4 linked regions of the Struthio camelus genome follow. The protein of the gene in region 2 interacts with the protein of the main gene of each other region in a pairwise test. Links are inferred from orthologs where the notes say so. Each region holds a gene or a part of one and is shown on either strand. Other genes may lie near its edges.

What was found.
Region 1: the proteins of LZTS2 (region 2) and RAD51D interact in binary tests that used the Homo sapiens proteins (3 or more experiments, as listed by UniProt). The two-hybrid records come from large-scale screens. The link is inferred for Struthio camelus from reciprocal best matches to the Homo sapiens genes LZTS2 and RAD51D.
Region 3: the proteins of LZTS2 (region 2) and TNIP3 interact in binary tests that used the Homo sapiens proteins (3 or more experiments, as listed by UniProt). The two-hybrid records come from large-scale screens. The link is inferred for Struthio camelus from reciprocal best matches to the Homo sapiens genes LZTS2 and TNIP3.
Region 4: the proteins of LZTS2 (region 2) and GEM interact in binary tests that used the Homo sapiens proteins (3 or more experiments, as listed by UniProt). The two-hybrid records come from large-scale screens. The link is inferred for Struthio camelus from reciprocal best matches to the Homo sapiens genes LZTS2 and GEM.

What each region holds. Positions count from the first base shown.
Region 1 is NC_090957.1:14,879,280-14,886,658, reverse strand, and holds the start of RAD51D (DNA repair protein RAD51 homolog 4), read right to left. Parts: upstream 3,005-7,379; 5' UTR 2,968-3,004; coding exon 2,886-2,967; intron 2,079-2,885; coding exon 2,017-2,078; intron 1,653-2,016; coding exon 1,534-1,652; intron 676-1,533; coding exon 594-675; intron 1-593. Other genes in the region: UNC45B (protein unc-45 homolog B), read left to right, coding at 4,612-4,703, 5,566-5,608, 6,231-6,392, 7,113-7,149. UniProt on the Homo sapiens protein: Involved in the homologous recombination repair (HRR) pathway of double-stranded DNA breaks arising during DNA replication or induced by DNA-damaging agents. Bind to single-stranded DNA (ssDNA) and has DNA-dependent ATPase activity.
Region 2 is NC_090948.1:15,894,952-15,901,781, reverse strand, and holds the start of LZTS2 (leucine zipper putative tumor suppressor 2), read right to left. Parts: upstream 3,023-6,830; 5' UTR 2,967-3,022; intron 589-2,966; 5' UTR 520-588; intron 1-519. UniProt on the Homo sapiens protein: Negative regulator of katanin-mediated microtubule severing and release from the centrosome. Required for central spindle formation and the completion of cytokinesis.
Region 3 is NC_090945.1:19,789,719-19,796,862, reverse strand, and holds the start of TNIP3 (TNFAIP3-interacting protein 3), read right to left. Parts: upstream 3,016-7,144; 5' UTR 2,913-3,015; intron 1-2,912. Other genes in the region: QRFPR (pyroglutamylated RF-amide peptide receptor), read right to left, coding at 5,297-5,700, 7,043-7,140. UniProt on the Homo sapiens protein: Binds to zinc finger protein TNFAIP3 and inhibits NF-kappa-B activation induced by tumor necrosis factor, Toll-like receptor 4 (TLR4), interleukin-1 and 12-O-tetradecanoylphorbol-13-acetate.
Region 4 is NC_090943.1:149,190,836-149,197,961, reverse strand, and holds the start of GEM (GTP-binding protein GEM), read right to left. Parts: upstream 3,021-7,126; 5' UTR 2,873-3,020; intron 889-2,872; 5' UTR 880-888; coding exon 549-879; intron 1-548. UniProt on the Homo sapiens protein: Could be a regulatory protein, possibly participating in receptor-mediated signal transduction at the plasma membrane. Has guanine nucleotide-binding activity but undetectable intrinsic GTPase activity.

The sequences.
Region 1 (7,379 bases), on a different chromosome or scaffold from region 2:
ACCAGCAGAAGTCTGGTTTCAAGCCTCCTGCCAGGGCTGCCCTGTGCTCTGGGAAAGGCTGAAGGCTGATGGAGGAGACAAAGCCAGTGCCTGCCCACAGCCTGTTTTCCCAGTGCTTTCCTCTTATCTGCACCCCATGCAAGCTGAAAGGGCCAACGATTGCCAGTGGCAAAATTGCTCCGACGGCCTCACAGCCAAGGCAGCCACCTGCAGCAGCAGGGTCCTTCACCACAGGAGCTACCAAGCTGGAAAGAATAAAGACTTCCTCTGTTCAAAAGGTCACACCAGCCTCACACCCCAGGTTTGGATCAGGTCCCTCCTTCCTGTGCCTGAAAGCCTGCAATGTAGGAGACCAGCATAGGGAGAAGGTGGGAACAGATGGGTTTTGCCAAAAGCTGACAATAGCTTTTTTCCCCCCTCCTCCTTGTGTTCTCATTAGAAACCATCCAATTAACCAAAGGTAGGATGGGGTGAGTCCAGGTTGTGTCCTTAAATATAGATTGCAGCATGGGTCCAGGGAGAAGTCACCTTCCTCATGCACTGTAGCATCATTTTCATCATACCTGTCCACTGCCCTCCTCTGTCCTGCTCACCTGTGTCTTCCCACTGCCAGGCGCTCCCATGAGCTCTGTCACTTCCCCTGTGTACAGCCCAGAGTCCAGCAGCTTGTCCAAACTAAGGGTTGAACACAAGGGTGGAACTATTTACACACCTTCAGGCAGAAGGGCAAGGGCATTGGGAAGCAGCAATCCCCAGTTATTCATCCCTACAGAGGTCCCTTTCCAACTGCAGATGAGTGGCCCAGACTCTGCTCCTTCCCCCCTTCCCCTGGGTCTCTCCACATTCTGGAGAGCAGCAGAAGGCCTGCAGTGTCATGTATAAGAGGACAGTCCTGAAGAGGAGAAGAACTGTGGTCTGAGAGCTCTCAAGTTGTGAACACCCCAGATTTCTCTGCACAGTCACTGCAACCACTCGGTGAGGCAACTGGAGAAAGGGAGAAATAAGTCACAGAAGAAGAGCACAACTTATTTCTGTGCCTGATCTAGATAATTTGGACCATCATCACTCAACCCTCCTCACAAGTCTATAATCCTCCTCTCTAGAGCGCTAAGGAAAGGGTGAAGGGAGCATGTCATCTAGCCTAGAAGTCAGACATGCTAATCACTTTCCAGGAGAGGTACAGGCTCTCAGGAGGACAACAGCAATGCCATTCCCTCAAGGGGCACAGACTGACTTGAGTTTGCAGCCATGGTTTGGGCAGGATATGAAGAATAAATGTCTTCGTTCTCATCCTAGCACCGCAGAGAGGGCTTCAAGGTGGAGGAGAGGCTGAGACCATAGGCAGGAGAGCTGCAGCAGCTCCACGAAGGAGCGCTGGCCATAGCACCCCAGGTCCGTTCCACCCTCGTCCCATCTCACCCTGCACAGTGCTTGAAGCACCACCTGGCTGAAACCCAAAGCCCAGGCTGGACTGTCTTTCCACAGAGAGTTTCCCACAGCCAGACCTGTTTGCACCCTGGGCAATGTACCCACCTGGCAATCCCAGTGGACAAGATGGCCGTGGAGCTCTTGAGCTCCTCATAGAGGTCTGCTCCATTGGCAGGGAAGGCCGAGAACTGGGCCAGGAGCACGCGCCTCACAGCAACCAGAGCCTGGTGGGCAGAGAGACATCTGAAAAGGCAGTTGAGGAAGTCTTGGGCTAGGGCAGTGCAGGGACAACACAAAACAAACGGTCTCCATTGCCCTGGGCAACTGTGGGTCCCACACGCTCCAGCAACCCACCCAGCGATATAGGGTGCTGATAGCACAGTCCCCATTCACAGCTTGGGCTCTTAAGCACAGTAGTAAAATACTGAGCGCTCAGCACAAGGCTGACTAACACAGAGCCAAGCACAACAGAGAAACCAATGACACAGGAGAATCAGAAGGTCCCTGTGGACAAGTCTGACCAAGCACTGAGTTGAACAGCTCTGAGCTCCCAGGTTAACGTAACAGGACTTACAAGTCTCCCTTTACCTTGTAAGACAGGGAACACTTCTGAGCAATGTCCTCCAGGTCTGACGATACAAAGTCCACCACTGCAAATAACATGAAGAACAAGAAGTTGGAGGCCAAACCATAACAGACCATCAACACCAAAAAGCTGATCAGCTCCTGCAGGAAATATCACCCTGAGACTGCAGGATGACCACATGCTTGGACAAAATCTACCTTTAGGCACTGACAGCTAAAACATTCCTGTGCCTCGGCCGATGCTCTGACCAGGTGAGCAGGATGCCCCGCGAAGTGGGACAATGGGGTTTTTCCTCTGAGGTGGCACTGGCATCACATGAGCCCCATCCATTAAGTTCATTGCAAAATGAATTAGGGAGAGGCTAATAAAAAATACTCCCTAGTTGTGCTCAAGAGCTGCCCAGGACCATTTGATAGCTAGAGTCAGCCAAGACAGGGCAGTTCTGCTAGTGCAGCAGAGCCTGTCTCAAGGGGCTAACGACTGACTCAAAGTGCCAGCTCAGGACATGCAGAGAAAGGCAAAAGTCACAGAAATTAGGGAAGAACTACTAGCCCATTTCTGCCCCAGGAGCCACTTTAAGATTTCTTTCTTAATTGAAACATGTACATTAGGCATTAAAAAATAGTAAAAGGCAGTTCTCACGGGGAAGAGGAGGATTATAGCATCCGTGGCTTGGGCACTCACAGGCTCTCGACCCAAGGCTCCCTTTAACAAGGATAAAGCGCTTCATCCTTTATCAGAGCCAGCAAAGAGCCCACCTGGAGCCCACCGGCAGCGGGGCCTGGCCCAGAGCGCTGGCAGCTACGAGGGAAAAAACACACGCAAAACCCTCAAACGCCTTTTAAGAGCCGCGCCCGGCGCGGCCGCTCACCCGTCCGGACGCCGCCCGCCCCGAGGAGCCGGATCGTCTCCGCGCCGAGGCCGGGGCAGAGCCCGGCCCGCAGCAGCGCCATGGCCCCGGCCGGCCCCGCTCCGCCCCGCCCCCGCGGCCGCCCCCGCTCCGGCCCCGCTCCGCCCCCGCGGCCCTTCCTGCTTCCCGCGGAGCCGCGCGGCAGCGGCCCGCTCACACCCCCGCCTAGCGGCTGCGCTCAGCCGGGCGCCAGCCCGCTTCAAAACGCGGAGCCCGACTTGAAAACCCCTCCTGCTTGAAAAGCAGGGTGACCCGAGCAGCGAAGGAAAGCAGAAATACCTCCACCTCCACCTCCCTGACCCCACCAGCCCCAGCAGGGGAGGCTCCAGCTGGCCCTAAAGGGCTGCTAGCACAGGTGACAGCGACGCCCTGGCTCCCAGGCCCTACACCACCCACCCCCACAAGAGCTGGGTGTTTTTGGGGGAGGGGGGTAAATGCTACTGGTGGGGGTAATGTTGGAGGAGTGTGTATTAGAGATTGGGGCAAGCATGTTTAAAAGTTAGTTTTAAAAGGGAGTTTGGTTTAAAAGGTAGGAGGCAGAAGTGAGGCTACTGTAGTCTTGCCTTGTAGAGTGCTTTGTGCTTCTGGGCAGAGCTTATTCCTCTCTTAAAAGTAAAGCTCACTTCTGGAGCTGCCTCTGGCTGTGATCTGAGCTCCTGTCTGCCCGAGCAGGCAGGGAGGACCTCTGTCAGGTGCTGTGCCAAGAGCTGTGAGTGTGGTGGGGCAGGCTGAAGGCCTCTCGCAGGAGCAGAGCTGCTGTGGTGTCCCAGTGCTTGCTGGAAGAACAGGTATGCACACAGGGGTGAAACTTTGGCTCTTAACCTCCAGGGGCTCTTGCAGAGAAGGGTCTGTGCTCTGTGTCCTGTTCAGCTACCCTAAACTTGCATTAGGGCTTTGGGGGTAACTCCAGGAAGGATCAAATGCAGCTCTGCACCAAGGAGCTGGTCTTCAGTTAACTGCCCCATTGAACCGAAGTGTGATACCGGCGTGCCTGGTACGGTGCACAGCTACTCCCGTGGCCCAACTGCTTCTCTAGAGATGCTGAAGTTCATTTTGGTGGTTTTGGGAGGGCAACTTAAACACTGAATGTCCTGCCTTTTCTTCTGCAAAACCTCCTATCAGAACACAGCTCGAAGCCGCGAGGTGAGGTGGGATCCGAGGCCGGAACGTGGCAGGAGCCGCTCGCGCGCCGATGGGCCTGGCAGGGTCGCTCCAGGCTGCTGCCTGAGCAGCAACAGCTCCTCCACACAGCTGGCTGCTGCCCTCCTTGTCCCCCGGCGATGAATTTCCCCAGGAAAAAATGCTTTTTTGCTTTCCCGGGTGAGGCCTCCAGAGGGCTCCCAGGGTTTGTGGCTGCACGTCGGTGCTGTGCAACTGCTGTCGTCCGCTTCGGCAACGGCACAACCTGGGGAGCTGCAGACCGCGGCCGCTCTGTCTCGAGCATAGGTAGCATCAGACAAAACTTTATTTTGTAACTTAATGTGTTTGAAGTACCTCCAGTATTGCTGCTGGTGAAAATGAAGCCTTTATCTGGGATAACTTAAGATATCCTGGATAACTTGCTATATGCCACAGGAATTACTGGAATGAAGAAAGCTGACCCTTCTCCCACACCTAAAGCAATACGAGGAGGTGCTTCCAACGTGTTAGTCAAAGCAGGCCCTGGAAAAGCTGTGGTGCCAACTCGATGCGTGGCGGAAGTGGCTTCTTCCGCCCTCCAAGAGGTGGTGTCTCTGCAGGCCCCGTGGATCCATCGCTGCGCTGCTCTGCTCTCAGAAGGTGAGGGCCTGAAACTTCTCCGCAAGGGGACGTGATGCAGAGACCTTCAAACCTCGTTGCGACCCCCTCCGGTACAGCTAACAGGGACAGAGTGGCGCTAGTTGGTAGACGTTGAAGGAGCTAGACGTGAGCTGATGTAGCTCGAGGACTGCTGGACAAAGCAGTCTTGTGCCAATTCTTTCTGCGTAAGACCCATAAGCTGTGACACAGAACACCAGCACTAAACGTAACCTAATTTTTTTCTTGGCAGGGCCCTAGAACGGAGCACATCCCCTGGCATAGCTCAGCTCTGCTCCATTGGAGCAACAGAGCAGTTACCAACCTGCCCCTGCTTCCCTCGGTCAATAGTTTCCCCAGTCCTGTTGCCAGTTCCCCCATCCGTTCTGTAGCTGGGACGCTGGCGGTCGCACTTAGGAGCTCGTGGCCTGCGTGTTGGAGGAGATCAGGCTGCAAAGCAAAATTCCCGATGCTCCGTGGCCTGAAAAATATGTAGGTTTGAAAGGCTCAGCTCTGATCTGGAGGAGTTCAGCAGTTCTCTCTCCTGGCCTGCGTCGCTCAAACTGAGACCTGAGGCTCTCGTTGCAGCAATGGGCCAATGCGCTCTGGGCCAGACCTTTGTGCTGGACTGCGCCCAGAGGGCTGCGAAACGGAGAGGAGGAGGCAGCACTGCGTGCGAATCAACTTTCTTTCCCAGCGCCTTCTGGAAGGTGCTGGGCGCTGCTGCAGCTGCCGGCCTGGGGCCATTTGCTCTGGCAGCTCAGCTGTCTCCCGCTTCCTTAAATAGAAAAGGGTCTGAGCACTGGGCTGGGGGTCAACTCTCCTGGCTGTTTTTTTTTTTTTTTTTTTTTTTTTTTTTTGGCAGGACCCTCCTCTTCCTGCACCCCCTGCCCGGCGCTGCTCCGCAGGTACGGCAGCGCTGAGGTTTGGTTCGGCGGCGGGGACGGGTTTCCTGCTGGCTGCGGAAAGACGCTTCGCTGGGGCGGGCAGGTGCCCCCGGAGCCGGGCCGGTCGCGGGTGCCCTGGCGTGCAGCCCCCCCTGGGGTGCTATATAGCAGGGGGAGAGGTGGGGACAGGCTGCGGTGACAGGCGACGCTGACGGGCCCCAGGAGCTGCCGGGTCCTGCCCAAACTTGGAGCGGGAGGTGAGGGAGATGGGCTCTTTCCCAGCTGTCCAGACCGTCCGCGGCGCCTGCTGACTTCGGAAACTTTTTTCTTTTATTAATTGACCCTGGAGGATCTGCAACGCCAGGAAAAACTTTTGGGAAGCCACAGCCTGGAGGAGCAATTTGGGCCTTGGTGTTTTTGAAGGCTTCAGTCCAGTAACCTGCTTTTATTGAAGTGCGTGTTAGTTAAATGTCGGGATCAGAGCGCAGCTTGGCTTGATGGCCAGACTCACCCGAGGGAGTACGCCAGCGACCCTGTCGTACGGGAGGCTGCAAACGGAAGGGGCACAAACTGATATATATATTTTTTTAAATTCCCAGGCAGGCTAAAATTTGCATCTTTTTTCCCCCCCTCTCCTCTCCAGATGGAGGATCCCATCCAGCTGAAAGAGGAGGGCAATAAATATTTTCAGGCCAGCGATTATGAGAAAGCCATTCAAAGCTACACTCAGGCCATAAAGCTCAACAAGGACAAGGCGCTGCAGGCGGTGCTGTACAGGAACAGGGCGGCGTGTTTCCTGAAAAAGGTGAGAGAGGGGCTCCCGGCTTGCCCGGGTGGTGCTGGCCTGGGGCAGGAGGGGAGCGAGAGCCGGGATGCAGGAGCAGGGCGGCAGCCGAGGATGCTCGGCAGCGATCAGCTGTGCTGTTAATAAAACCCTGAGAGATGGGGACCAGCAGCCGGAGGTCGCGGGGGTTGCTGGAGCACAGGCAATGGTTTACGGAGCATGGGCTCAAATCTGTTCCTCCCTTTGCTGTGCGAGCCTGGCATCCCCACGGCCAGCCGGCCTCGTGCAGGCGCTCCCTGGAGATTTCCAGGCGGTGGCGGCACTGTGTGAATAGCAAGAGAAAATAGGTGCTTTTCCAAGTCGCGTCTCAGCAGGAGCAAAGCTCACGCTGCGCAGGATGTGTCCCCCTCAGATGCTGCTGGGGGCAGAGGAGACTCCATGGTTTGGGTGCAGAGGCTTCTCTCCCGCTTGCCTTTTCCAGCATAAGAGAAGCAGGCATGGATCTTAGCGCAAAAAGAAAAGTTATTAGAATCTGTAGCAAAACCACCTCAGCTCCCTGAAGACCTGCCATGGGATTTCAGATCGCTTACGTGTTCCTGAAAAAGCGTGTTACTTTTCGTTTCTCGTGGCGTCTGATTAGTAAGTGGGAATAGAGAGGTCACGGTGTGCATCGGTAACGTGGATATATCCTGCTAATCGACTGCCCTGCTAACGAATCGTCCTTCCTTCCTGACTCGACAGGAGGAATACGTCAAGGCAGCCTCGGATGCGTCTCGAGGTAAGGAGGAGGCTGCTTGCAAGAAGTGAGCTGTGCTTGTGGGTATGCTCCCTCCAGCCTGCTCTCGCATCTCCTTTTGGGGCCCTGTGGTCTTCCTGCTTCAAATCCACTAATGCCCAAGTGCTTAGCTTGGTTTTGAGGCTACAGGGAAATTAATAGAGAAGATGCAAAGGATAACGTGCTTACACTAGCTGCAACACACGCTGTCTTTACAGCTTGGCATTAGCACG
Region 2 (6,830 bases):
GTGAGAGCGCGCGAGCGAGCAGGGCATAAAGCAGTTGCCAAGCTCTTTCCCAATCCCACAGCACGCTGCCTGCCCCTCTCCAGTCTGGGGGCTCTGCGAGTGCCCCTGTTGCTGCCCTGCGGCCCATGCCCTGGGCGCACGCGTTCGGTGCGTGCCCCCCCTCCCCGGCCCACACCATACGCCCGCGTGACATGAGCCAGCCGACGGGCCGGATCCGTCCCCCGCTGCCTCATCGCATCTCGCACATGGCTGCAGCTGGCACAGGGCACGAGGAAGGGGGGTTGCTGCCCGCATGGTCTCGCCTGCTGAGCTGTCACCTGAAATCAATCCGCCTGCCAGCGCCCGAGGGGGCAAGCAGGCGGGGAGGGCAGAGCAGGAGGGGCCGGGCTGCCAGCACCCTCCCCTCCCCTCCACCACCACGGGCACGTGCCTTCCCCGGGCACGGCGACTTTCCACTGTACCCAGCCCGATGCCCCAGCGCTGCCGCCACGGGGGTGCGGGTGACGGCCTTCCGCTCACCTCGCCAGTCGCTGCCCATTCGTCTGGCCCGCTCAGGTCCCTGCTCCGCGAACACAGCTCAGTCACCCCCTGCAGCAGGAAAAAGAAAGAGGAGGGGGTCAGGGTGCAAAAAGCACCCACTCCCAAATCACCCCACATCAGGGCCCGAAGGGAGATGGGGGGGCTCACTGCACCCCCTGCAGCTTCCAAGGACCAGTCCTGCACCCACTCCCCCAAATTGACATGCTTGCTACCAAGCCCTGCAGAGGTGCCAGGCAGAGCCCTGCCCATCTGCACCCTACCCAGCATCTCCACCCAAACCGGTGGTACCGTACCCCCGCCACAGGGCTGGGAAAGCAGGGAGGGCACTGGGGCCATGCATCAGCACCTGCCCGCCTTCTCCTGGATGGCAGAGGACAGAAACCAGCTTGCCATGCCAGCTGACTGGCACAGCCCTGCGCGCTCAGCCGTGGGCTAACAGCGGGGCGTGCGTAGGCCGCTGTGCCCAGGGCCTCCAGCTGGGCTCGGTCATCCCGGGCCCAGCGTCCCCGCCAGCAGAGCCAGGCGAAGGGCTGACCCCGGCCCTGCCCTGCAGCCGGGGCTCCTTGCTGCTCAGGAGCTGCCAGGCCCCCCAGCACCATTTCCAGCCCTGCCAAAGCTCTCCGGCCGGCAGGTCTGGGACGGGCAGCGCCAGCGCGGCACAGCGGATGGCCAAAGATGCCAGGGTCTAGTATGCTGGTCCTGGCACCCCCCCACCCCCCAAGAATGGGATTATCAAACATGGTGATCTGTGGGCGACATCCCGCTTGGGAAACTCCTGCACAGCCCCTGCGCTGCCTCACCAGCCCCTCCGGCTCCTTTCCCTGCACTCAGTAGGGGACACGGCAAGGGGACGGCGATGGGGAGCCAGCCCGTGGGCACCTCACACCGCCTCACCTCCCACTCTTTGCCGGACCCCTCCTTGCTAAACATAACCCCCTGCCCTGTCCTGCAGCTGGATCCCAGCACCCTGCCAGCCCCCAAGGGGACAAGGCCACCACTAGAGCCCGACGGCTCCTTTTCTCTCCGGCTGCAGATCAGCTCCCAGCCTGGGACAGGGAGCCCTGGGGGTGCCACCCCACCGCGCATCCCCCGCCGTGAATCCCGGGAGCTGCGGCTGCGGAGAAGGGATCCTTCTTCACCCTCCCGCAAGCTCCGATCCGCCTCCAGGGAGGGTCCGGCAGGCCGGGGCCTCTGGAGGACGGAAACTTTCAGCTGGGGACTCGCCAGGCCTGCCGGCGGCGAGCGCGGCCTGCGAAACGCCCCGGCGGCGCCGAGCGGGCCGGCAGGCAGCTCTGAGCTCCCCAGTAAAACCAGTTAGTAACTGGGCCGGCGTCACTGCCGGCGAACTCAGGTGGGAGCACAAGGAAGCAGGATCCTCCGGCTCCCAAACGCCAGGCACGGGGAAGCTCATCCCCGCCGCGCTCCCGGCCTTGCCGCGGGATTCCCACCTCGGGCCACCAGAGATTTCGGGGCCCCCGCACCTTTCTGAGGGGGCTCAGACCCCACACGCCCCTCGCAGTGCCCCCCAACCGACCCCACACCCCCCCCCCCGCGCCTGCCCCACAGCTCCGTCCCCTCGACCCACAGCAACTCACAGCTGCCCCACACTGCTGCCTGCCTGCCCCTCAGTGCCCCGCACCCCCCAGTGAGCCCCACATGACACCCCCCCAAAGTGCCCCATAGAGCACTGGGGTCTCTGCTGCTCTATAACACCCCCAGAGTGCCCCACAGAGCTCCTGGGCCTCTGCCACCCCATAGTTCCCCCCAGTTGCCCCACAGGACCTGCAAAGTGTCCCCACAACAGCCCCAAAGAGCCCCATAGAGCATCTAGGCCTCTGCCATCCCGCAACACCTCCCCAAAGTGCTCCCACAGGACCTCCAGGCCTCTGCTGCCCCATGCCCCCCCCAAGGTGCCCCACAAAACCCCCAAAGTGCCCCATAGAGCACCTGGGCCTCTGCTGCCCCACAGGGCCCCTAAAGTGCCCCACAACAGCCCCAAAGTGCCCCATAGAGCACTGGGGTCTCTGCTGTCCCATAACACCCCCAAGAGGCCCCCCCAGGACCCCTAAGCCCTTGCTGCCCCACAGCCCCCCCAAAGCGCCCCACAGGACCCCCAAAGTGTCCCTCAGAGTTCCTGGGCCTCTGCTGCCCTACAGGGCCCCTAAAGTGCCCCATAACACCCCCAAGAGGCCCCCCCAGGACCCCTAGGCCCCGGCTGCCCCACAGCCCCCCCCAAGTGCCCCACAGAGCACCTGGGCCCCTGCTGCCCCATAGCTCCCCCCAACTGCCCCACAACAGCCCCAAAGTACCCCCCCAGGACCCCTAGGCCTCTGCCACCCCCGCCGCCCCCCGCGGGGCCCCCCAGAGCCCCCCCGGCCCCCGCCCCGCTCCGCGGCGCCCCCCGGCCCGGCCCAGCCCGCACTCACGCTCGCCCCGCGCCGCCGCTCCGCTCCGCGCCGGCCCGGCCCGGCCCGCGCCAGGCCCCGCCCGCCGCCCCCGGCCCCCCTGGCCCGGCCCGGCCCGGCCCGGCCCGGCTCGGCGCGGGAGCCCGGCAGGGGGGCGCCCTACGGACGGGGCGCGGGGCAGCGACGCCGCCGGCAGCAGCGCCGGGCCGGGCCGGGGAGCGCCCTGCGCGGCGGGGGCCGGGGGGGGGGGGGCCGTGGGGCTCGGGGTGCCGCGCGGCGGGGCGGGGGTGCTGTATGGGGCTGGGGGCGGGCCGTGCAGTGGGGGGCCCTGCACAGGGTTATGGGGCGGGGGTGCATTGGGGGGCTCTGCATGGGGCTATGGGGCGGGGGTGCTGTGTGGGGGTTATGGGGCGGGGGTGCATTGGGGGGCTCTGCATGGGGCTATGGGGCGGGGGTGCATTGGGGGGCCCTGCATGGGGCTATGGGGCGGGGGTGCTGTGTGGGGGTTATGGGACGGGGGTGCATTGGGGGGCCCTGCATGGGGCTATGGGGCGGGGGTGCTGTGCAGTGAGGGGTCATGCATGGGGCCATGGGGATGGGGGTGCTGTGTGGGGGTTATGGGGCGGGGGTGCTGTGCATTGGGGGGCTCTGCATGGGGCTATGGGGCAGGGGTGCTATATGAGGGCTATGGGGGGGGGGGGTGCCACACGGTGGGGCGGGGGTGCTGTATGGGGCCTACGGGGCTGGGGTGCCATGCAGTGGGGGGCCCTGCATGGGGGCTGCGGGGTGGGGGTCAGTGGGGTGGGGAGCAGTGCCGGGGGCTGTGGCCCTCTGTTGGTGCCCCACGGCTGGGGCGCCCCGCTCAGCCCGGCCCCAGCCCCGAGAGGGGACTCACGCCGGCAGCTCCCCCCCCGGGGCCGACCCCGCGTTCGGCCAGCCAGGCTCCCCAGAGGCTCCCCAGAGCCTGGGCGAGCCCCTCCGAAACCCCCGGAAACCCCCCAAAGCCGCCCTGAAGGAGTCGTCCCCCAGAGGTGTTTGGGGTGCCCCCAGCACCTTGTCCAGGGGAACGGTGGCCGGGCTCTGCCCCGTGTCTCTGTTTTGCCCCCCACCGTGGGTGGGATTTTGCAGCTATTCCCACCCGCTCTTTGAGAGCTCCCAAACTGGGAGACAACGGAGAAAGAAAATCAGTACAGCAGCAGTTTGGAAAGCCGCGGGGCTGGATTCAGCGGCGGGCACCCCTTGAGCAGGTGCAACCGGCAGGCGCCCGGGGACACATCGCCCACCCAGGGGGTCCCTGACGGATCTGGGAGGGAGGAGGGCTGGGACCTCCCAAGGCCAGTGGTCCCATTGCTTGGGACCCCCCTGCCCCCAGGGCTCGGCTCCACCGCCCCCTTCCCAGCCCTGAGGGGTAAATAAGGAGGGAGACGGTGGTCCTGAGGGTGCCCTGCTGCCCCAGCTCGGAGGGTGCAAGGATGCACCCTGCGCAGAACATAGTCCTGTGAGGTCTGCCCCACTCCTAGTCCTTTAACCTTGCAGCCCCCCCCCCCCCCCCAACAGCATCGTCCTTTGGCTGGATCAAGGGGAAACTGAGGCCAGCGAGCTGGATGGGTGCACCTGGGCTGAGCGTGGATGCCCCGAACCCCAGCCTGGCACCTGCCTGCCTCCACACAAATCCTCACTGGAATCACCCTGGCACTGGGGAGAAATGCCACCAGGGCAGTGATGCCACCAGACCTGCCCAGGGCCTGGCTGTGGTGCTTGTACAGCGCCTTATGCACAGGAGACACCATAACACCGCCAAGCTCTGCCCCAGCTCCCTCCCCAACAGCCCGCTGCCCCCCACCTTACCTCCATTTGGCCAGGATCTGCTCCACAACCGAGACCCTCCTCCATTGCTTCTTGCACCCCTGGCCTGTCCTGGGGGCCTAGCCAAACTCCCTCCTCAGGCTCCCGATGCCTGCGCCAACAGCACCCAAGGGTGCTTTAACAGCCCCAGGGAGCTGGTGCACCCCAGAAAACAGCAGCTGGGTGTGTACCGCCTGCCCGCCCCAGCCCCTCATTATGGCTCAGGTTAAAACTATGCCCCGTGCGGAGGCAGATAATAACTCACGTGCCGGGCTAAACACACGGCGGTGATGGGCTGTGACCACGGGGAGAGCTGTGGGCAAGCCCCAGCCAGCACCCTCCTCCCTGCCTGCGCTAACCTCCCCGGGCATCCGGGCCAGCCGCTGCCCCCTTGGCTGCCCTGGGTGAGAGAGGGGGTGGAGGGGAGAAAGCAGGGACTTCTCCTGGACAAAGTCCAGGGGACAGGCATGGCCAGGCCTCCCCGCCAGAGCCCATCGTGCTGCCTCCAAGGAGGGTGGAAGAGGCTGGTGAGGGACCTTGGACAGAACAGACCCAAGGGAGGTCCCAGCCCCATCGATGGCCTCTCTCCTTTCGCTGCTTATCTTTAGGGTGGGATGTTCTGGCATGCGTCCCAGTCAGTAGCATCTCTTGTCAAGACATCCCCATAACCCTGTCCCTCTGTTTGTCCTCCTCCACCCAGGAGTTTATGGCACCAACCTGGTCCCTAGGCTCCAAACCCAGGAAACGCAGACCAGTCCCCATTTGAACGGGGGCAGAAATGTGCTGTTGAGGCCCACAGGCAGATTTCAGTTGAGCCTGAGCCCTGGAAACTCCCTGTGGGGCAGACATGCCCAGCCCGGCAAGGGCCCCTCAAGGACATCGCCTCCCTGACCAGGGTCCCCCCAGCCAAAGGGTGACGTGATCACAGGCAGCAAAGGACAGCAGCATAGGAACAGCACTCAGATTTCTGCTTTAATAAAACTATAAAGGAAAACAAAAGGATTGGACCAAGATCCGACCGTGGACTCTTCCTGCCACGGCAAGGACCAGCCAGGTCACAGTGTTCACCACTAAACGCTTTGAAAGAGGGTCCCTGGGGATGGACTTGAAAAGTCTCTGGACCACTGCTGCCACATTCAAAGCCCTGGGTGAAAGCAGGGCCAAGAGGAGGGGAGACCACAGCGCACGCCTGGCTCCAGGGCTGCCCAAAGCCGCTGGCCCAGAATGCTGGCACCCCTCTCCAGCCAAGCCCGGGGGGGGTCCCCCAGGGGTTTTACTGCTGGTGATGCCCACAGTGGAGAGACAGGACAGGGTAGACCAGGGCGTCCTGGGGCAAAGGGCAGTAGTCGAGCAGGCAGAGCTGGCAAGCTGCACATCCCACCTGCTGGCCAGCAGAAGAGGAAGCAAACCCTGCCTTCAACCTGCCACATTTCCATCCTCACTGCTCAGGCGCCACCACCATGGGGGTGGCAGCTCCCACCTTTGTCAGGGCTTCACAAGGCTCCCAGCAGAGACCATCCAGCTCCAGGCACCCCAGGCCAAGGGCCATCCACAGTATCCCTCAGCATCCCTCTACAACCTCCCTCTTGCTGACCCCATCCCAGTCAGGACCGAGCACAGCACTCCTGAAATCCCTATCCGAGACAGGAGGAGGTCTCCGCAGTCCCACCATGCGGCCTCTCGTGGGGTCCACGACGATGGCCCAGAATTTTGGCCCAACAAGTTTAGCAGCACGTTAATAAAATGCTCCAAGCCCAGAGCCCCAGGGCTACAGGTTACTGCCCCTGGGCCCTCACCCAAGCCATGGCCCACTCCACGCTCTCAGCACTCAGCACCAAGATCAAGTGACCAAAATTTGCAAAAACATCTGTCTAGGACACAGAAAAGCATCTGCCCTGCACCAGGAGCACCTCCGCCAGCGGCAGCCTGCAGGGAGCCAGGACCGCCCCCAGCTCTCCATCCCTGGGCAGTTGGGAGGCAGCACAGCAAGAAAAAGGCTCCTCTTCTCCAGCAGGATCCCATTCGTCCTCCCACCACGGC
Region 3 (7,144 bases), on a different chromosome or scaffold from region 2:
TTCATGTAGGTACTTAGCACAAATAGAACCTAACAGCCAATATACTAATTGGGATGTTTTGTTTTGTCTTAATTAAAGTATATGTTAAGATGTACAGCCATGACTTATATAATCCATATCTCCAAGTGTGCAGACTCTGCCCTCAGGATGCAACACCCTCTTTAATGGAAGGTAAGTACTAAACTGTGGGGGGGGGGTTGTTGTTGTTGTTGTTAAACAAAGAAGCTGATACTCATGAAGTTCAAAGCATTGAATCAGCTGTTATTCAAAACCTGATAATATTTCTTTTTATACTTAAGTATTAAACGTAAAACTGTGGCTCTGCCCAAAAGAAAGCAACCAGAAGAAAGCCACAATATTATCTTGATGAAGTCAACTAAGAACTAACTCATGATTCTACACATCATCAGGGTGGGTCCCTAGGAAACTGAAACCCTTAAAAGGCCCTCTCCTTCTTGCTCTTCTCCCATATGCCTCAAACCCTACTGCCCCCTACTCCATTTTTAAATGCAGCTCCAATACCAGAATTCAATACAACAGTTTAATATTAAACAGCCTTCTCTATTCAAAACTTATCTGACTAAACTTTGAGCAAACCCAGAAGGAATAATAAACTGGAGGACTTGGTTTTCTTTGCCTTCATCATCTTAACTACATGAGGTATCCTGCTGAAAAATAAGTAATCCCTGCCTTACTGCCAACTTGATCCTCCTTCCCAAATAGCGTTACATAAATCCTCCCCATCAGCTTTTTATGATTTCCTTTACCTGAACTATTGCCCTGGAGATGAACCATTGTATGGGTGTACAGTTCCAAAGAAGCTAGCAGGTATGAAAAAGGTTCCATGCATATCTTTGTAGAATTAGGTCCACATACTGCAAAGTCTTCCAGAAAAGGAATACACCTCTCCACCGGCTTGTAAAGCATCAGGTAAACAATTTTAAAAAGATACTAATAAGACTAGCTACAAGTATAAACAGTATATTGTCCTTCCTTCTATTCTCCACAAGCTGTACTTGAGGTAACAGCTGTTGGCTGCTTCTTCCAGGATCTGCAGTTGTCACTGTCTCTAAGTAGTGCTGGCTCACCGAGTATCCCAGACAGTGTTTCTTGCTCCATGCCAGAAACCTAGCATATCAGAGTCTGCTTCAGGGATGAGACTCACACAGCTTTGCCCAGCCAAAAACAACTCAGCTCAACACCCGATCCAGTCCTCAGATTCCTCTGTTAGAATTACCTGATAGCTGACAAACACAACTTTGCCTACTAGTGACCGAACAACGCATGGTGGAGTCCAGATATCTAGCAACCCGAATAAAAAGAATTCAAGCTATGGCTCTCCTTCATCTACATTTAATCAGCCCCTCTAAAATAGATCTCACATTCTCCTGCGCATGTACTATGCACTTAATTTGTTTGTTATTCCACACAAGTGCTAACTACACATCCAAACAATACACAAGCAAGCACCACGTTCAGTTCCTCTTCCGTGAAACTTTAAAAGGACATCTAATCCGTACCTAGACGTTCCCCCCTCTTTCAGTAGCACAAATGTCTTACGAAGAACTTGCTAATGCTACGAGGGACTACAAACTCTCTATTCAGGTGTTCGTTATATTCAGATTCAAACTTTTTATGCCTGCACAGCACTGTGTTAGCCCATAATAGAATCAAGCGTCTTAAATAAAAGCATAGTTCCCTGTCTATTTGTCAAAGTATTACAGCCCAGAACATAATTCTATAGGTTAAAAACATACCCACAAATAAAGCCATCTGATGGCCACTGAAATTAATGTTGCGTTGTTCCCTCCCACTCCCCCCAAAAAAGAAAAGTTAAGAGCAAAAGAGTTGCTTCTGCTGGGAAGTAATTTCACATTATATTTACCCTCCCTCTCTTGGAGAGAATTTTTTAAACAGTTACCCTGTTACAGACACAGTCACTGGAAGGGTTAATTTCCTTCTACCCACAGTTCTTCATGATGTCAATACAGTCTGAATGCAACTGAATCAGCCATAGCAATACCACATGTCCTATGCTTTTTCCCAATCCACTCATATTTCTAGAGTCTCTGTTCAGCTGAATGTGTTCTTTCAGACTTGTATCTTCATTTACATGCCAGTTCCTGGTATTATCTCATTGTAGCTTTAAAGCTGATAAGCCGTAAGGCACCTTATACAGCGGAGAATATGAAAAGTTTCTCTTCAATTTGGACCACAAAGAAATTACAGTCCTTTAGACTGCTTCATGATTTAAGTGATCTGCAGCTAATGCAGATCAGAAAAAAACATTTTGGGGGAAGCATTTTTTCAAAAAACACAATAGTTTTATTAAACACTCTCAGCTTAGGGAAAATAGATTGGTTAAAATTAATCTTTTCTGTTCACAGGTTAGCCTTTACCCAGAAAGTCTTCTGATCTGCTTCATCATGCAATTCTACCAGTGTAAGAGAGGAGGAAGCAGGCAAGCTGGGGAGGAGAGCAGGGCTGTTCCTTCCATAGCAGTGTTAGCTTTCACTGATTTGAAGTACTCAGTAACAGCCAAACACTTGGAAACACATGAGACACTGCAAGAGACAGACTACCAGTCTGGACAGAAAATTGGCCTGATTCAATACAACAGGTTGTTTTGTTAGTTAAATCAAAGCTGAGGCTTTGATAAAACACACACTCCCCCAAACACAAACCTACACAAATGCACATATAGGCAAAAATCTAAATTCTGCTTAAGTCAATAAAGGTTCTTCTATTCCTTGCAGCTGGAATTTCTCACAAGATTTTCTGGCTTTGAGAGAACTACTGTGTCAAAAATGTACTGAAGATAATAGCTTATTAAGATGTAAGACAATTGTCTGAAGTAGTTTGGCTTATATTTAATCTAAATCTAATCACTCTGCCTTTGCTGAAACACTTACCAATTCTCTCCTACCAAGATATTGGAACTTTTGATCTCTATTACCTTCTTCTGTAAAAAGTCCTCTACAGCACATCTGTAAGGATGACAGTAGAAGCTGGTACCTGAAACAGAACTGAAACTTAATCACTAAAAAAAAAAAAAAAGGTGCAAATAAGCTGATCTTTAAAATAAAAATATACTGAAATATTGACGTTTATAGAATGCACTTCCAGTCTAAAACAGCACCATAAATATCAAAATGGAGTTTTAATGAAAAATACTACAATAATCACTTGTTGACGTTACATTTTATGAGACAACAGAAGAAACAAACAAAAAACCCAAAGACATAGAACACCCATAAGTTTTACAAAGTAACTGTCACCTTTGCTGTTCAAACCCGTCACTGAAATCACCAGTACAAATAAAAAAATAAAGAGCTTAACATAATAAAGTGATTTTCAGTTACAGAATCTGTTAAAACACATACTTCTCATCAGGAGCCTGAAAACTTTGCATCAACTGAGGAAAAGGATGATAATAAGCCAGTTTGAGTCTCTAATCTACATGGCAGAAATTTTACTAGATGACCTCTTTCGGGAAAGATGAAAGACTGAAACGAAGAGCTGGACCCTGAAGGAAGCCACAGTTATAATCACAGGCAAATACTGTTGCTGTTGCTTACCAGCAGTATCAAGGTAATGCAAAGAGGCACGTTTGCCTGAGTGTCTGAGGCAGAACCTGATTTCACTCATGACATTTTACCCAAACATACCTCTTTGAAATTGGTGTTTTTATCTAATACATATACTAAAGTGCTCTCAATTTCTGGCTGTCAAGACAAGTCAGGAATCTTAACCTGTCATTGTGTCAGAGTATATGAGATAAAGTATAAATAATAATATATATTTAAAATAAAGAATATATCACAAATCAGCATCAGAATACCTAATGCAATGGAAATTTATGAACATTACAGAAGGACCAGATTACTTCTAATTTATGCAAGCATAACAAACTAGATTTTCATTTACAGTTTTGGAAGTGACAATGTGAAAGCATCTCAAAAGTTACTGCCAAGGGAGCATCAAGGTCCCTGAGGTGAAATAAGGGATGACAGAAAAGAGCACCAACGATCACAACGTGTTCTTAAAGGATCCAGCCTAATCTCAGCTGGAATCTCAAATTATTTCAGAGCCCCATTTGTACGATCAGATCACAATATAACATTCTAGATCACATTTTTTCCTCAGGCCTATATTTGTAAGGATCTTTGACAGTTTCAGTTTGGCTCGCTGACAATTTTCAGAATTCATATGATTTCAGCCTTGTAATTTGCTGGAAAGCCTAAAAATAATAGAACACTGGCCCTGTTTTTAGACAATGATTTATCTACTTCGAAGGTGAGGGAGAGACAACAGAGGGGAAAAAAAAAAGAAAAAAAAAATCTGTGCTTGACAGCAGCAAAGGGCCCGATCAAAACACCATGTCCTAAATTGAAAGTTGTCTGTCGAGTCCATCAGGCTCTGGGGCTAGTCCTTATATTCCTCCAGAACAAGGCAACAATACTAATTTAACCCATAAGCCATGTATCTAAAACACAACCTCAGGTAAAATTCATTTCTTACTCTACAGAACACACCTCTAGCATCTGCAGACACTCGATTTGTATAGCACTCTCAACTTCTACGTTTTTCAGCAGGAACAATGCTGTTTACAGGGCAGTACACTTGCATTTGTATTTGTACCCAGAGAATTAACCTGTAAAAATAGCACATTAATTATGCACACATTAATTTCAAATATGCTTTCTGCTTAGAAAATCTGAGCAAACATGCAATGTAAACATCTTCATCTCTTCAAAGTCAAATTCTGGCTAGCTCCTTCATATACTTTGCAAAATAGAACTGCATCTCAGTTTGTATTTTTCTTAAACTCAGATCTGAAGTTTCTCTGTCCTCGGCGTGCAGATAGTAGATCTCACAATGTCAGACCCAGGTGAGATTCCCAAGCTGTCCAAAGGAAGCATGCATATTTTCCATAGTTTATATCTTCTGGCAACTGTGTATCTACTTTCAACTGTGTATGGTTCAACATGGTTTACAAAAAGTAAACAAAGCAAGCGGCAGTTGTTTGGTTGACCTAGAGCAGGGGGCAAAAAAGTCCTATGTTACCTCAGGAAGAAAAATATTTTTCTGGAAATCATGCAGTAATACTGTTTTCCAAACTTTTATTCCTCATCTATAAAGTAATTAGTTTCTCAACCATTATTCAGACATTATCATAATCCACAGAATATTTTTCCCCTCCTTGCACACAATGTAGAAAAAAATATTTAAAATGGTTTGTTTAAAGTTATCAAATACAAGGAGTGCTTTTTCCATTCTAAAAATCTTTGTGATGTTACTGTCCACTTCTTAACGCAGAATGCACAGTAAGGTCAGAGCTGAATAAGGTAAGGTGCCTTTTCAAATTCCTTTTTGAAGCTGGCTGATCACAGAACTTGACTTCTATGTTGCCGTCGCTGAATGCCTCCCTCCTGGCCTCATCTGAGTCAGTGGGATCTCTTAGAGAAGCACTTGCCTTTTGCTGCCTCATAGTAATCCCCAAGTTCCCGAGTTGCCTGGCTGGTGATGTGTTTTCTTTGACAACGCAGAAGCAGATGGCAGACAAAAAATTTTTCTTGAAGTTTTCATTCATAAAAGCATACACAATAGGGTTGCAAATAGAATTGAAAAATCCTATAATTTGGACAATAGCAAAGATCATTTTGACTGTCACATCATCATACTCCTTTTCAAAGTCACCTGGAAATGAAAAAGGAAATATGCTGTAGGTATAGAATGGTATAAATACCCATTACTAAGCCCATTTACACCCAATCTGGCATTAGAAGCTTTTGTCTAGTAACCTCCAGCAAGGTGCTTTCTTGGTAATTTTAGCAATAGGATTTCACTAGCCAGCAAAGATCAAGACCTACCACATAGCCCTGCTTTTGTATATATGTAGGGAAGAACAGTGTAGTCTGAAGGACACAACTCGTGAGCAAAAAAACAAATGAACAAATAAACAACTTGTCCAATGGCCAAGTGACAGAAAGCTTCCAGTCTGCTGAGTGTAGGCTCTGACTCTGCGTCTCACATTCATGAGAAATTTTCAAGTACTCTACCACGATAACACTAATCCCCGTCTTTTCACTGACCATATGCAGCTTCTTTCTTTGTGCTGATACAGACGAGTTCATAGAGTAAAAATGCATCTTCCTGGTGATAGCTCACATTTTAATTACTTGATATCACAGAATTCTCTGAATTTCTTGAATTCAAATACTTGGCTAAGCAGCTTTGGAAGACACTGCACAAGGGTTTATATGGCAAGTTAAACAAGGCCTTGTAGCAGTGGAAACAATCCCTGAAATTAACAGTGGAAAGAGAGTGAAGTGTTACACAGAACAGTTCAGGGCAATCTCAATAGGGGGCAATCCAGATAATTTTTGAAAGTTACAGCTTAAGCATTTCTGGCTCTGCCCAGGCACAAACACCACTTGCTTCAGCTGACTGGCTGTAGCACTACTGACTTATCTGCTATGCCCTTTTCCGCAACAGAGAGAAAAGAGATTAACTGTTGCGTTTGGCAAGTAGAGCACAACTGGTACTGAATAATTCAGTGTTCCTACACACGGCAAACTGCACAGTCCCACCTGCTATCACTGCACCTACACAGGAGGAGGGAGACACAGTGCCCTCTCCCCACCCCCTCCACAAAGTCTAGCACAGTTTATAGCAAGACACAGATCTTTAGTGCTACAGCAGGGAAGAGAAGACGGGGCTGATACAAGGATTTCTCAGATATATTACGCTCTCAAACACTACAGCTAATAAGAGGTTTTTGAAATGTACTTACGTTTTCTGTGAGCACTGTAGATCTGTCTGTCACTCATAGACTTCAGAGTAATTCATCTGCTGTTGATTATGTATCTCTATTACAAGACAGTGATCCAGGATTTATAAGCACAACGTTAACCTTTGCTAGCAGAAGGTACATTATAGCTGAATGCTGCAGCAGCACTAGCATTTCACAATCTGTGGTTCCATTATTGCAAAAAAACCTAAAAAAGACTTTATTGCATGACACATGGCAGATACTCACTGTATTCTATCATCATATGAATCACATGGAAAGGGGCCCAGCAGACTGCAAAGAGAAACACCACTGTCACCATCATAACAATTGCTCGCTTCTTCTTCCTGA
Region 4 (7,126 bases), on a different chromosome or scaffold from region 2:
GCAATATATTTATGCACGACTTCTAACGGCAAATATTTTGGAGGTGATCAAAGAACTGGATGGGGAGGGGGTATTTTTCATTATATATTATTTTTAAGCATTACATTCTAATAAAACAAGGGCATCTTCTTTTTTTTTTTTTTTCTGTCCCGCACAGAAAGTAGGAATTGACCCTGTGGAGCCAGTGGTGACATATTTTGGACATATGTGTGAGAGCTGAACCAGCCTTTCCCTATAACACAGGCACAGGCAGGAACATAGCAGCTTCCAACAGGTATTTTAAAATGAAATAGCATGAGAAGCTACATTGCTGCCTTGCAGAGGCTTTAGATCCTCATTAGTGAGGACCTTAGTCCTCGTATCTAATTTTTTTTGCTTGTTTTCTTAAGAGAGATAGATGTGTTGGAATCAATTTTGATGATCAGACCCAAGTGTTGGTTACCTCAGTTTCAGGTTAAATGGTCTTGCTAATTTTCTGTGCCTTAATGCCATTGCTACTGACAGGGCTGCCCTCAAGTAAACAAGCGCCCCAGGCCATCATGACCTACCTCCTAGCACCTCACAGTCGCTGTCAATGCTGTCATGTACCCCTGCAAAGATGTTGGCCAGCGACGACTTGCCTACACCGTGTTCCCCGATCAGCACCACCCGGTAGCAATTGCTGCTGGATTCAGAGGAGATGACGGAGTCAGACGACTCCGAGGACCAGCTCCTTCTGTAGTAATCGTCAGGACTGATGGTGTATCGTTTCTGTGCATTGTATTCATTGGAGTCCTTCTGGACCAGCGGGTGCTTTCCATCAGCAGGGATGCTCCATCGCTGCTGCTGCTGCAAGCCACTGTTGTTGGTGCGACGCATGGTAACATTGTTGAGGGTCATTTTTTACCCCTGGTGAGAAACGTGGAAACGACAAACATCACCCACAAAGCATTAGAAATGCGTTAACACCCTCTTCCCAACCTCAGGACAGTATGTAGAACCCTACAGAAGAGCTGGACTATACAACAACAACAAAAAAAGAGGCTTTCTGCACTTCTTTGTTGCTGCTGGTACACAAAGAAATTTCTAGTTAGTGAGTCAGAGCTGCAGCTTTCATCCTAGGGACAATACCACTGTCACATGCTAAATCCCAGCTTTGTGCTTTGCTTAGCTGTTGCAGGCTCACTGCTGTACTAGGTGCAGCGCAGCCCTGGAGATACTGCAGCATTGCTATGTCCCAGGAGGAGAGCAAAGGGGCAACATCTGCCAGCGCTGTCATGCCTGGGAGCCTGCATACAGCTGCATCCTCAGTGAGGCAGCTGATGGGACCCTGTAGGTGCCAGTCCCCACCCTTCATGCGCAACTGTGGGCAGAGGGACCAGCCGCAGTCACCTCCAGTTCCACTCCAGTGGGTGTAAAGGGTGAGCACGGGCGCACCCCACGGCTGCGCCCCATTCCCTACATTCTCCTGGCATAGACAGGCTGGTTCCTCCAGCAATGTCAGCCGTGCACACCAAAACACAGTCACAAAATAAATCCTATTTTGCTTGCAATATCGCTCCCATTGCCTCAGTTAAAAGTTTAATCTTTTGGGAAAGTAAAACGTGCTAGACAGCCCTCATGCTGGAAACAAATGATGCAAGCAAGTCTTGTTATAATGTATTTTGAATAGATTTTGATCTCAGCTATAGCAGGACAAATAAAAAATAGCTATCGCACAGAGTAGCATTTTGGCTGGTAAAAGTGAGGATGCAACCAAGTCCAGTGGCTTTTCTGAGGAGATACTGAATCTGACCTCTAAAGAAGGTATCACTGAGAGTAAAAGCTCATAAAGTTACAGATAGTAAGTCAATAAATTAATTTACCACAAAAGCTGCTCATTCACATTATCTAAGAACGTTTGTTCATCTTACACAGCTAGTTAGCTCACCTTATCTATGCATGGCTCTTAATTACATTTTACTTTGCAAACTCTATTTTGCCTTGGTTGGAAGCAGAGTGCAGTGATGTCATTTTCACAGGCTAACAGCTACCATTTTTAGGAAAGATCCTTTGATATATTCCAGTTTCCAAAGTGACAGTTATTTAGATATTTTACATTTTAGCATATGTCTGATGTTTCTTAGCTCTCTTCTCTATATTAATAAACAGCATATCTGTCTGCACAACGCATCAGACCACTTTCAATAACAAATTTTGAATATTTTGAATAAGAACTAGTGAATGAAAATAATTGCAGCAACACATCAAAAAGACATATACAAATTGTTTTTCCTATCCACATAAAACTTTATGAAAACTTCTTAGAATAAATGTGCAGCAGGTCATAGAACAAATAGGCAGAAAGAGCACACTCTAACTAAACTTATTCCAACTTATGTGATATTTTCACTGTGACGCACAGTACTTTGTGGCAAGATTAGATCATATGCATAGTCTAGTCATAGTAACTTTGCCAGGAAAAAGCATACGTAACTAGAAACCTCGCACCAAACGAAGACTGCTTCACAAACAAAGTGAAGTTTTTCCAGTACTTTAATTTTAAAATCCATTTTTTTCTTGTAGTTTCCCCTCTGAAACAATGCATGAGAAAAGCCACCTCTAATCCAGTCAAACAATGAACAATCACTAAATCACTATCTTCAGTTAACAGTCAATCAATAAATAGTCCAAATCATAAATATTTTATATTTTTTCCCTTAACAAATTATCATCCTTCATTAAACAAATCCAAACAAGAGAAAGTCTTATAACTCACTACTGCACATAGCATTCCCACTTCAAATTATTTTTCATACCACAAACTGCATTTAGCATTAGCTATTTGGTCTGTCATTTACTTATAGTAAAATACTGCATTTGGACCAATGCATTTCAGCCAACACTGCCTTACTTTTGACGGGCTCTTCCCCGCAGTCAGGTCCTTTGCTCTCCCTGCCCTTCTCTCTCAGTGGAGTGTGATACACTGAACTGGTCTGCCAAAGCAAATCCTCTTCTACTTATGGGCTGCCTCTTTAATTCGCTCTCAGCAAACCTGGTTTATATTAAGCCCATCTGATCAGAGACAGGGCTTTTCCGTGACGTGTTTGGCCTTTCCATACAACAGCCAGCCCCCAGCTGGGAGGAAGCGGACACGCAGAGGAGCAAAAACTTACAAACAATCTCAAAAGCTTTCCTTGAAACCATATGATTCCCCTAATGTTGCCAGTAAAATAAACATGTTTGGTTCTCACAAGATGAAGACAGGAAAGTGCAAAAAAAAAATTATATGTGCTGTTTCATCATCACTCAGTTTTTCAGTCAAGTGCTATTAAAATTGATGATGTTTAAAAAATGGCATAAGCTTTATTAATGCATAAAATGCTGCAAAAGTGTTATGTTGTCTCTCTGCAAAAAGCAACTGACTATCTGGTGGATAAATGTTTCTTTGGAATAAAATATCATAATGTTATTTTGAAGATATCTTAAAAGCAGGAGGATTATTCTATTTTTTTCTGAAAAAGAAGTTCTAATACATAAGATCCTATTTTTCCTGCTTCTCTTAGCCTCCAAGTCACTGCATGCAGTTTTCTGAATCTCATAATCAGCTCTCGCTTCTGCTGTAACCCTTTACTAGCAAAGGTTTAAAAAAAACAGCAGACCACAAATTCTGTGTTGCTCCAGCTTGACAGTGGCATAGATGTATCAGCATTAACAAGCACAAAGTCAGAGTAGCATAGTGCTTATGCAGTCCATAGTTTATTAGGAAAGATGAATATATAGTGTACGTGGCGCAAAACAAGGGCCTGCTCCTTAAATTTTAACAAGCTCAAATGTCATTGGCACAAGAAATTCTGCCAGGAGGAAAAAAACTGTAATACTGTGCCACTGGGGGACACTCCTAACAACATAGAGAAGGTACTTCTCGATTAACAGATGAAAAATGAACTGCTTGGTAAGGATGCCACAAGTTATATAAAAGTATATGGAAACTCTATAGTCAGCCCTCAATTATCTAAATTCTGCGTTATCTATGATGAGCTCAAAAACAAGCTCAGAAAATTTTCCTTTATATTTACAATCTCCTGGTTAGTCTGTTGTCCCCTAAAATCAACGTGTGACTGTAATTTTTATGTTGCACTTTAGTTTGAACAACTTGATCCATTTCTGAACAGGGATAAGAATTTTTTTTTTCATGACCCCATTCTTTTCAGTTACAGACAAGTAAGCCTTTAATTAACCATATATCTTTATTAAAGAGAACAGTGATATGCAGAAAAGAATGTCTAGTACTGTTTGGTGTCTAGCACTTATTTCACATACCTCTACATTTTTATGCTTTGATTAAAACCTGTAAACCGACTTGTTTTCCTGTGAAAACATAGACCTTTCACAAATTCTGCATTGGAAATATGCTCGTCTTGTTTCCCCTTTGCCTTTCTTGCATTCCTGTGTCTTTCTTGGGGATTTTCAGGCACCTTCTGAGCCTATTCTCAAGCCTAAAGAGATGAGAGCCCAATAGAGACCATGTCCAAGTACGAGCATATTGCTTTTCCAAAGTATATGCTCATATTAACATACATGGAAATTATTCATATCTACTAACAGAGTACTCAGACAAAACTTACTGCTTGGCAGTAGCTGAGCTGGCCGCAGATCCTGCGTCCCCACTCACCGGTCCTTAGCACAGCAGGCTCTGAGTCTGTTGCCATGTGGTCACCTCAAAGAACACAAAACAGCTCATCCTCTGCGCAGCACATATGCAACAGCTCTGTACAGCATGGCAAAACCCAGCAAAACCTCTGTCAGGGAGAGTTTAGTGTTACCTTTATGGCATGGCCAGCAGTTTCTAGGAGGAACACTTCACTCTTTTGCTGCCTGCATACTCAGCTTCACTTTCAGCGTTGCTCGTTTTTGCAATGTGCTGGAAATCACAGAATCACAGAACGGCCAAGGCTGGAAGGGACCTCTGGAGATCATCTAGTCCAACCTCCCTGCTCAAGCAGGGTCCTCTAGAGCACATTGCACAGGATCGCGTCCAGGCAGGTTTTGAATATCCCCAGGGAAGGAGACTCCACCACCTCTCTGGGCAACCTGTGCCAGGGCTCTGTCACCCTCACAGTCAAGAAGTTTTTCCTCAGGTTCAGATGGAACTGCCTGTGCTTCAGTTTCTGCCCGTGGCCTCTTGTCCTGTCACTGGGCACCACGGAGAAGAGACTGGCCCCATCCTCTTGACACCCTCCCTTCACATACTTGTACACCTTGATGAGATCCTCCCCTCAGTCTTCACTTCCCCGGGCTAAACAGGCCCAGCTCCCTCAGCCTGGCCTCATAGGAGAGATGCTCCAGTCCCCTCATCCTCTTTGTAGCCCTCCGCTGCACTCTCTCCAGTAGTGCCATGTCTCTCTTGAGCTGGGGAGCCCAGAATTGGACACAGCACTCCAGGGGAGGCCTCCCCAGGGCTGAGGAGAGGGGCGGGATCACCTCCCTCCACCTCCTGGCAACACTCTGCCTCGTGCTCCCCAGGAGACCATTGGCCTTCTTGGCCACAAGGCCACACTGCTGCCTCACGATCAACTTGTTGTCCACCAGCACTCCCAGGTCCTTCTCGGCAGAGCTGCTTGCCAGCAGGTCAGCCCCCAACCTGTACTGGGGCATGGGGTTATTCCTCCCCAGGCGCAGGAGCCTGCGCTTGCCTTTGTGCAGCTTCAGGAGGTTCCTCTCCGCCCAGCTCTCCAGCCTGTCCAGGTCCCTCTCAATGGCAGCACAGCCTTCTGGTGGGTCAGCCACTCCCCCCAGTTTAGTATCCTCAGCAAACTCGCTGAGGGTGCACTCTGTCCCTTCCTCCAGGTCACTGATGAATAAGTTGAACAAGACTGGACCCAGCACTGACCCCCGGGGGACACTGCTAGCTACAGGCCTCCAACTTGACTCTGCGCCACTGACCACAACCCTCTGAGCTCGGCCATCCAGCCAGTTCTCAATCCACCTCACCGTCCACTCATCTAACCCACACTTCCTCAGCTTACCTACGAGGATGTGACGGGAGACAGTGTCCAAAGCCTTGCTGAAGTCCAGGGAGACAACATCCACTGCTCTGCCCTCATCTCCCCAGCCAGTCATGCCATCAGAGAAGGCTATCAGATGGGTCAAGCATGATTTCCCTTTCGTCAATCCATGCTGACTACTCCTGATCACCTTCTTGTCCTCCATGTGCTTAGTGATGACCTCCAGGATGAGCTGTTCCATCATGAAGGTGACAGCGTTACTGGAGTACTGTGTTCTGCATCTTGCATCCATTTAGTTCTCTTTAACTTGTCGGTAATTTGTCACTACATATAAAAAAGCAAAACATATCTACCATGGGAATGGAGAGATTTATAGTCAGATTGATCTAAGCAGAACTGTGGGCTCTAACGTCTCACCTAAATGATTAACTTATATCATAGTAGAAAGCACAGACAGTAGAAATAAACCAAAGCACAAAAGCACTTGTGTTTCATTATGGTTAGTCTTAGATCAGGAATTGCTAGACATCATCTTGCATAAATTCTTCATAAAATTCAAGGCAGACAAACGAAACATGGTTTTCTAGTGATCACACAATGTATCTCTTCTATAAGACGGTCCACAGGGATTGTCCCAGCTATGACATGAAGGGCTTGTATTTGGGAAACTTGCACACATATTTTCCCTTGTGTTTTCTTTTCTGAGCCTATTTCCAGTTTTGCCGACTTGACAATTAACTCTCCATGCCTGTTCTAAACTACAATATGCCTCCTTTCCTCCTATAACAAAGATATCAGTCAGTCCTCAGGTAATGTCATCAGTACCCATGAATTCCAATCCTTGTAACTGTGGAGAATTTTTTTTTTTTTACTTTTTTTTTAAGCAGGGGAAATGTGCAGCATCCTAAGCCTGCTGGTACTTACAAAGGATAATAGCAGGATGACTAATGAGGCATATGAATGGAGCCCTTCTCAATAAGGCTGATTATAGGCTTAAATTTCCAAATAGAAGCCAATAGACTGATGGATGCACATGTGGCTCTGGCAGCTCTATCTTCCTGCACTCTTTGCTGGTCAATGGTTCTGTAACTAAAACTGCCTGAGATACAGGCATGAGAAGAGACAAGCATAAGGCCAGGTGCTGTCATAAAGCACAGGAA